Linked DNA regions of Xenopus tropicalis. Each later gene encodes a partner of the first gene's protein in a complex. Links are inferred from orthologs where the notes say so. Each region holds a gene or a part of one and is shown in the gene's direction. Other genes may lie near its edges. The genes, in order: amhr2 and amh.

What was found.
Region 2: the proteins of amhr2 (region 1) and amh are in contact, whole or in part, in a crystal structure (PDB 7L0J), measured with the Homo sapiens proteins. The link is inferred for Xenopus tropicalis from reciprocal best matches to the Homo sapiens genes AMHR2 and AMH. Residues at the interface, in NP_065434.1 of Homo sapiens: Gly31, Val32, Arg33, Gly34, Ser35, Thr36, Thr38, Leu39, Phe62, Ile64, Glu75, Met76, Arg80, Asp81, Ser82, Glu84, Pro85, Ser95, Arg97, Ala98, Pro100, Ser101, Leu106, Thr108; in NP_000470.3 of Homo sapiens: Leu471, Arg472, Glu474, Val477, Leu478, Ile479, Pro480, Glu481, Thr482, Tyr483, Gln484, Lys534, Leu535, Ile537, Leu539, Glu542, Arg543, Ile544, Ser545, Ala546.

The regions. Positions count from the first base shown.
Region 1 is NC_030678.2:146,934,721-146,938,831, reverse strand, and holds the end of amhr2 (anti-Muellerian hormone type-2 receptor), read left to right. Parts: intron 1-100; coding exon 101-258; intron 259-507; coding exon 508-655; intron 656-1,502; coding exon 1,503-1,639; intron 1,640-2,148; coding exon 2,149-2,265; 3' UTR 2,266-3,517; downstream 3,518-4,111. UniProt on the Homo sapiens protein: On ligand binding, forms a receptor complex consisting of two type II and two type I transmembrane serine/threonine kinases.
Region 2 is NC_030677.2:102,616,761-102,620,587, reverse strand, and holds part of amh (muellerian-inhibiting factor), read left to right. Parts: intron 1-2,729; coding exon 2,730-2,908; intron 2,909-3,255; coding exon 3,256-3,376; intron 3,377-3,748; coding exon 3,749-3,827. UniProt on the Homo sapiens protein: Plays an important role in several reproductive functions. Induces Muellerian duct regression during male fetal sexual differentiation. Also plays a role in Leydig cell differentiation and function.

The DNA.
Region 1 (4,111 bases):
AGTGAAATGAAACTGGACAGATTTACTCATCACTAATAACAACTATATCAATTAAATTGTTTGAGCATGAAATCTAGTTTCTAAAATTTCACTTATACAGATGTGTACAAACCACCAATTGCCCATCGAGATCTCAGCAGTGAAAACATCCTGGTAACTGCTGATTCCTTGTGTGTAATCTCAGACTTTGGTCTTTCGGTTGTATTGGAGGGACAAAAGATAATGAAAAGAAACACTGAGGACCCAGCTATAAGTATGGTAAGAATATAATAAATAGGCCAGAATGTGTCAGAAGCTACTAATCCTTACAGATGTTTTTGTGGCCCCCTTTGGGGAAACTTTGGATATTTTTCATAAACATATACGGAAACTTCTTAATAGTTGGTGTCCCTCTGGGCCCCCATAACCTTCTGGTTCCCCAACAGTCACAAGTTTTGTTCAATTTATAGTTACGCCCATGTACTGTGTTACTTTGCAAGCAAGTTGATTATCACTTGTTTCCTACAGACAGGTACGCTGAGATATATGTCCCCAGAGATGTTGGATGGATCCTTGAATCTTGTGTTATGGGAGCTGGCTCTGACTCAGGCTGATGTCTATTCACTTGGACTATTACTATGGGAAATATTCAGTCGATGTTATGACTTATATGCAGGTGAGAAGTGACTTCCTAAGTTGTATAATTGTGCTTGGGTTCACTAGTTTTTTGTTAAGGCTTTCCACTGTTTCAGGCAGTCAGGGCCCTCTAATGATCAGGAGTAGCTTTCACCGCTTGCTTTTACTAATAAAAGCTGATTCAGGCTGAGTTCTCTATCCAGAATTTAGGAGCAATACATTGATCCTGGGCCACTTCAGTTAGGTGCTACTGTACATTGCAAATCTCCTTCTGTGGTCTCCAACCATGCCAATAAGCTATCTGCCTCACATCAATAGATCCTGGCTGGTTCCCTAGCAACCAGATATCTCCAGCATTGTACTACACACTAGGGGATGAGGGTGGCATCAACCACCCCCTACATATATATGAAAAAAAACCATACATCTTATAGTACTTCAAAACTCCCAAGATGAGTTGATACAATTACTTTGACAACATGAGATGTTGTAGAGCATGTAATCACATCAGCAGTACACTTTAACACTGAGGTTCATAAAAGAAAATTTAATTTAAGCATTTAATTTTAGACATTATAATTGGGAAACAGTAGGCTACTCTGGAGAAGTGTTGTGGTCAGACTGGCCTGCCTTGCCTTGGGCCCTCTCAAAAACTGACAGTCACATACATGCTTCAAAGGTGCTCAAGCCAGCACCCAACAGAGACCTAGCAGTGAATTATTCTTTAGGCTGGACTTAATCACTACATGAAAACAATTATAGTAAAAGCCAAGCAGGTTGTTGGTGAAAAATAACTGTATATTGTATGTCTGTAGTGTATACTGTAGTATTGTAGATATCTTAATACTTATGCAGATGAGACTAAGATGAAGCCTTGTAACTCTTAGATCAATGTGCACCTGAGTTCCAAGTGGTGTTCCTTGAAGAACTGGGTCCAAATCCTACTCTTCATGAGCTGCAGTCATTGATAGTTGAAAATAAAAGACGGCCACAGCTTCCCAAATCCTGGGGCAATAATATCAAGGTAACTTTTTAACTGCTGTACCATCTTCACAATATATATTACATTTGTATTATATATGTTTGCTTTATGTGCTTATTCCTGTTGATGCGGGCTCCCATTGGTGCAGCGCCCTATTCCAATTGGCCCAAGGCCTGCTCTGCACAAATAATTCATTCAGACGTATTTCCAATACATAACCCAAATATTCTCCAAAGTGTCGTTTTACATTTTCATAATTCCATACGATATCTTGAAACAATTTTATCATTGTCTCTGAAAAATCGAGCCTATATCTGTATATATTTTATCCAAGGATTCCATTTTTGTCCATGAATATTTATTTTCCCTCTTTTTATTGCAATTATTTTTTTTTATTAGTCTTCTTTCACAGCCTTATGCCAGTCTTGTATTCCAATATATTATTTAGATTTCCAATTAACCAATATCATATTTCTTGACAGTGTTGACAGTGCTGTGTTTCTAGATAACAGGTTTCTATATAACATATCCCCCTATACCCCATATTCCAGCTTGTTGGAGCCCTCTGGGAGACTCTGGAAGATTGCTGGGATCCTGATTCCGAGGCCCGTCTAACAGCGCAGTGTGCAGAAGAGAGACTGAGCAACCTCTGTAACCCACAGTGCTGAGGCCCAGCAACTCATACTGGGTGGCTTTAAATGTGCAGCTGTAGTGAGGCAATGTTGTATATGTCATTACTGATAAGACATTATGGATATATTAATTGTCAATATTTACCTTAAAACACAATTAATACAAGAACTTTTGACAAATATATTTTTTTTTTTATAGTTTTTGTTGCAGTTGGCAGTTAACTCTTAACTTTTGGCTTGTGGATGTTCTAGCTGGTGGGTACAGGTTGCACTTTCAAACAATAATTTTGCACAATATAGGAGCATTACAGTACATTTGTAATGTGCTGACAAACACCGGTGAATTGCCCCATGTGGCATAAGCCTTAGCATCAGATACAGTGTATTTACTTATTATTTACAGAATAGCAACTGCAATACCCAAAGGCCATCGCATTGCTTCGTTTATCCGAAGTAGTGTGGTTTCCTCCTGCAGGCAGGCGTCTTTGCGCGACTTCAGGAATAACGAAGCAATGCAATAGCCTTTCCCCCCACAACTCCTATTGTTGCTGGTGGAAAGCACAGCACAGCTTATAAAGAGTAAATAATGATGCAATCCCTTAATGTTTATCAGGGATAAAAAATAAATGCTGTCATACAGCAAACCTGTCCTGTAAATAGCCAGATAGTGCCCATGGTAAACAAAAGAAAACAGCTTTCTTGATCACGGAAGACTGATGTGTTTCCGACTCATTACACAAGCAGCTTGGTAAAAAATAGTAGATGTTTGTTTTGATCAGTTTAAGGGGTGGTACACTTTTAGGTCAAAGACAGAAGGAGAGATTAGTCGCTGTGATTTTAAAAACCCAGTTGATTCGACTCGCGGTGACTAATCTCCGTGCACATGTATACAAGATGCCGCATTCGAAATGTACTGTGCGTGACAAGTTGGCGCAACTTTTGCGGCAGGCGATTAGTTGGTGTGATTTTATTGTTATTGCAACCTATTTATTACTTGTTATTACTCATCTTTCTATGCAAGCCAACTTCATCCAGCTTTGGAAAGCCAGAGTGATGTGTAGGCCTTTCCAAAGGCGACTACTATTGCTGTTAGTGGAAAGGCATTTCTGAGCAGTTTGTTGCCCACAGTAGCAGAGATCTATCGATTTTAATAACAAAATGGTACCGGTGAACAGTATGGTAAACTCTTCTTTTTAGTTTTTCAGCTACATCAAAGGTGATTTTGTATAATATATATAATCCTATGCAATTTCCAATATACATTCATTAAAGTTCATTAAAGTGTTAATGTTATGTGTAAATATCATATCAAAGAAAATACCCTGCCAAAGACAATACTGAGAATTGCTTTTGCTAAAACACACATTTCTACTGAGACAATTATCAGTAAATGATCAGCATTGTTTATTTAATAGCTGTGACAAGTAGCTTCTACTAGTAGCTCTGTTTGTCTTCACCCTAAGGGCTCTGGCACACGAGGGAGTTTAGTTGCCCGCGACAAATCTCCCTTGTTGCGGGCGACTAAACTCCCTGATGTGGGATGGTATACACAGCGCCGCAATTTCAGGGAAATTTCCTCTCAAGGCAACTTCCGCAATTTCAGGGAAATTGCAGCGCCGTGTATGCCATCCCACCGGCGATTTACATTTTCACCGGTGGGATGGCATTTCGGGGAGATTAGTCGCCCGCGAACAGGGAGATTTGTTGCACGTGACTGATCTCCCTGTGTGCCAGAGCCCTAAGGGGGTGACTTAAAAAAGTCATGGTCACTAATCGACACGCTGCAAACGGTGCGCTATTTGATGCGGCATCTTGTAGATTAATCTATGGCAGGTAAATTACCGCAATTCGTTGCCGCAACCAAGTTTTTTAAAAGTCGTTG
Region 2 (3,827 bases), on another chromosome or scaffold:
AAATTGTTGTTTATTTCACTGAATTGGTGATTATCTATATATTCAGGACCTATCAGTGGGATATAGCTTATAAACTCTCTTTCTTAATCTATTAATATTGTTGTATTACTTTTATTTAACCTGTCAACATTGGGATTATTGAGTGCCTGATCATTTATGTGTTTTTCGGTGTAAAACCCAAAAGTGCCTTTTTTGCTGCCCCTGATAACCTACCACACATGTTTCTTCCTTATTAATAACATTGATATCAAGCATAATTTTTACTGGTCGGGTGGCAAACAGAGACAAGGTTCTCACCCTACATTATGCAACAAGCTAGTATGACTGCTATTATTAAGTCATATTGTTAATAGACACTTCTACATGCAATTATTATGATTGAGCTAACATGCATGCACAATCAAAGAGTACTATGGGTAGCAAATTGGCATGAACATAACACTTGTAGGTAACCTACTTTCATGGAGTCAGTCCCATAAAACCAACCACCTGTAAGAAAAGATTTTTTAAAATGAATACAATGTAGTACAGGTATGGGACCTGTTATCCAGAATGCTTGGGACCTGGGGTTTTCCAGATAAGGGATCTTTCCGTAATTTGGATCTCCATAACTTGTCTGCTAAAAATCATTTAAATATTGAATAAACCCAGTAGGTTTGTTTTGCCTCCAATAAGGATTAATTATATCTTAATTGGGATCAAGTACAAGGTACTGTTTTATAATTACAGAGAAAAAGGAAATAATTTTTAAAAATTAGAGTTGTTTGCTTATAATGGAGTCTATGGGAGACAGGCTTTCCGTAATTCGGAACTTTCTGGATAATGGGTTTCCGGATAAGAGATCCCATGCCTGTATATTAACTCGCCCTCTGCCCCCCCCCCCCATCAAGTCCTGCACTTTGGAAGGATGCCATGGTATTTATTGCTTTTCTTTCCTGCATTTAATTAAAGACTCCTGTATACTTCTGTAAAATAATATATAATTATTGTTAGGACAAATCCTACTTATAAATATAAGTAAAACCTATTTATATCTAATTCAAATCACTGCCTGGTTGCTAAGGTAATTTGGACCATAGAAATCATATAGCTGCTAAAATTCCAAACAGGAAAAAATGTCACTGTCTTCATCATACTAAAAGTCAAAGGTGAACCAAAAATTTTATTTAATGTCAGTGATGCCAAGTGTTATAAACAGAGACATAAAGGGAATAGACAGGAAGGCGAAGTATTATTTTCTGAAAAAAAAAAAAAAGGAATTAAAATATAGATAAGACTGACTGGAAATTGTTGACTTGCTATAGTGGAGAAATGCACAATCGAACAAGAAAAGGCAAGTACTAAATAGATCATGGAAAAGATGTTGATGTGAAATACTTAAACTTTGCCCAAGAATTTGATATTTTTTGGTAAAAAAAAAAACACAGTTTGAGTACTAACTACAGCTGCCCAACCCCAATAAAAGCCTCAAGTTCAATATAGTAAAGCTGGCAATGAAGAAATGGTCTGCGCGTACCTAGTAGACATGATGCCCTAGTGTGCTGCCCTGGACCAACAGCCCTGAGAGTTGTTAAATGACAGAATTGTTATGCTATCTCTGCTGAATGCTTCTGCCGGATTTCTAATTAAGGTACCCAGAGGTCACCCCCATCCCCTGCTCCCTTCCCTCATTTAGGATCATGCACATGCCCATCTATTTATTTCACATACGGAGCACTGGGGACAGGATGTGCTGAAGTTTTCTGTGAAGTGTGGCTGGATGGCAGCATGTCACCCCTAAATTTGTGCCCTAGGCCCAAGCCTTTGTGGCCTTGCCACAAATCCAGGGCCTGCCTATCCTAATGGGCCCTGAGCAAATGCCCCTTTTGCCTATTTATTAAAATGGCCCTGAAAATATCGCCTTTTTAAAACTAAATAGATGGCTAGGAGTCATACTTAACAAGGACCTTGCAAGAACCAAACATAGAGTAGCTTCAGTTTCCCTGTACATCCTGCTTAGCTCAAGAAATAACAAAAGAAAAGGTAAAAAGTATGTTCAGCAAAAGCCATATTCATGGAAATCATGTTGAACAAGGTGGTATACTTCCCCTTTAAATGTTCTTAACATAAGCTAAAATCAGATAAATCAAGACCTGCAGGGCATTTTGACCACCACTAGTTAGCCTGCCACTGCCAGCTATGCTTGCTTGTTGCCACTATCTTTTCTAATAGTTGCTCCATGTGAATTGAGCCCCACACACCCTTGCACCCTAGATATTTACTCTTGTGCCTCTTATGTCTTTTCCCAGTTCCAGCCCTCACCGCTGTTCTAGGTTATGATTGTTTATTTTTCTTCTGACAGTATACCCCCTTGGGGTATATGACTTTATTTCTTCCATGGAATTGATTGGTGAGGATATCTGACACTGCTCACTATGGTAACCATATAGTTCAGGAAAAATGTGGGCATTTCTGTATTGGTTACCTTTTTCCCTGTCAAAAACAGGCTTAAAGTTGCATTTTTAGAAAACAAATGTCAATCTTATTGCTCAGTAGGTGCACTTAATTACTTTGTGTGCTATAACGCTAAGATGAACTCCTTATTCTGCCTAACTGTGTTTACTGGTACAGTGAGCCAGCATGGATGGGCTGCATATTTTGCACAGAGATAAGCTGTATGTTTTCTAAACATCATTCGGATCTTAGAGTGGCTAATAATAAATGCTTTGTTTTGCTTTTCTTGCCATCAGTTGACTGGGAAGTTGGAACCAGCCTGCATTTCAAGGGGGCTGTGAAGGGACATGTCACTGCTCATCTGCAACATCCTCACTTAATGTTGCTTGTCTTTCATCTTGACACACATAAGTCCTACATGGATCACCATGGATCTAAAATTCTAGTGTCAGGAGAAGGAGTCCAACCAGAACAGGCAAGCAAGGGGTTTTATAATTACACTCACATATATTTAGCTAATATATATTTTCAGTTTGGAAACCATTGATGTAGGGTATGGGATATGTATATAGAAAAAGAGTCCTTCATTTCAATGAATAATGAAAGAATGAATGAAAGAAAACTATGTTTATAGCAGGAACAGTTTTTTTTTTTTTGCCAACTAGAAATGTTAGCTCGCAAGGCTACTTTCTATAACCTTATATTTTAACAGCTAATAGATAATAAATATACACTGTATTTTGTACCAGGGCCAACAACAACTCATATAAAAGAAATGTGAAATAACTGTACTTCTGATACAATAAGGTTTCCTTTATGCAGGTGGCTTGTGTGTCATTAAACACCCGCTATCTTGTTATGAGAGTAGGAGGAACTGCGAAGAACCATCCTTCTGGAGACCTAATGCTCCATCTGTCTGTTCATATTAAAGGGCTTTCTAATGGTAAGGACATATGGAGATCCTGGGCTATTTTATCAATAGGGGAATAACTATGATGCCAGAGAATAATAATATCTCAGTACAGGCAATGGAACAACATAGCAAGTTTTTCCAATTCAGTTGCTCAGTTGGCAGCGAGCTTAGCCAGTAACATGTTCCTAGAAACTATTGGGGGTGGAGGAGGAAATAAAATTGATAAGCAGTTGATTCAGCATGAATCAGTGTGTTATATTTCAGTCTATACACTTATAGCCTCCTTTTATTTTAAACAAAAACTTATATGTATATGTTCAGATGGTGGTACCCGATACAGCTCATTGAAGTACAATTACATAAATAAACAAAATACCTTATTTTTTTCTCTCATATGGCCAGGACTTTCTTTAACCAATGTTGAACTTCAGAAGCTACTTTTTGGCACAGACAGAAAGTGCTCAACCAAGATGACACCAGC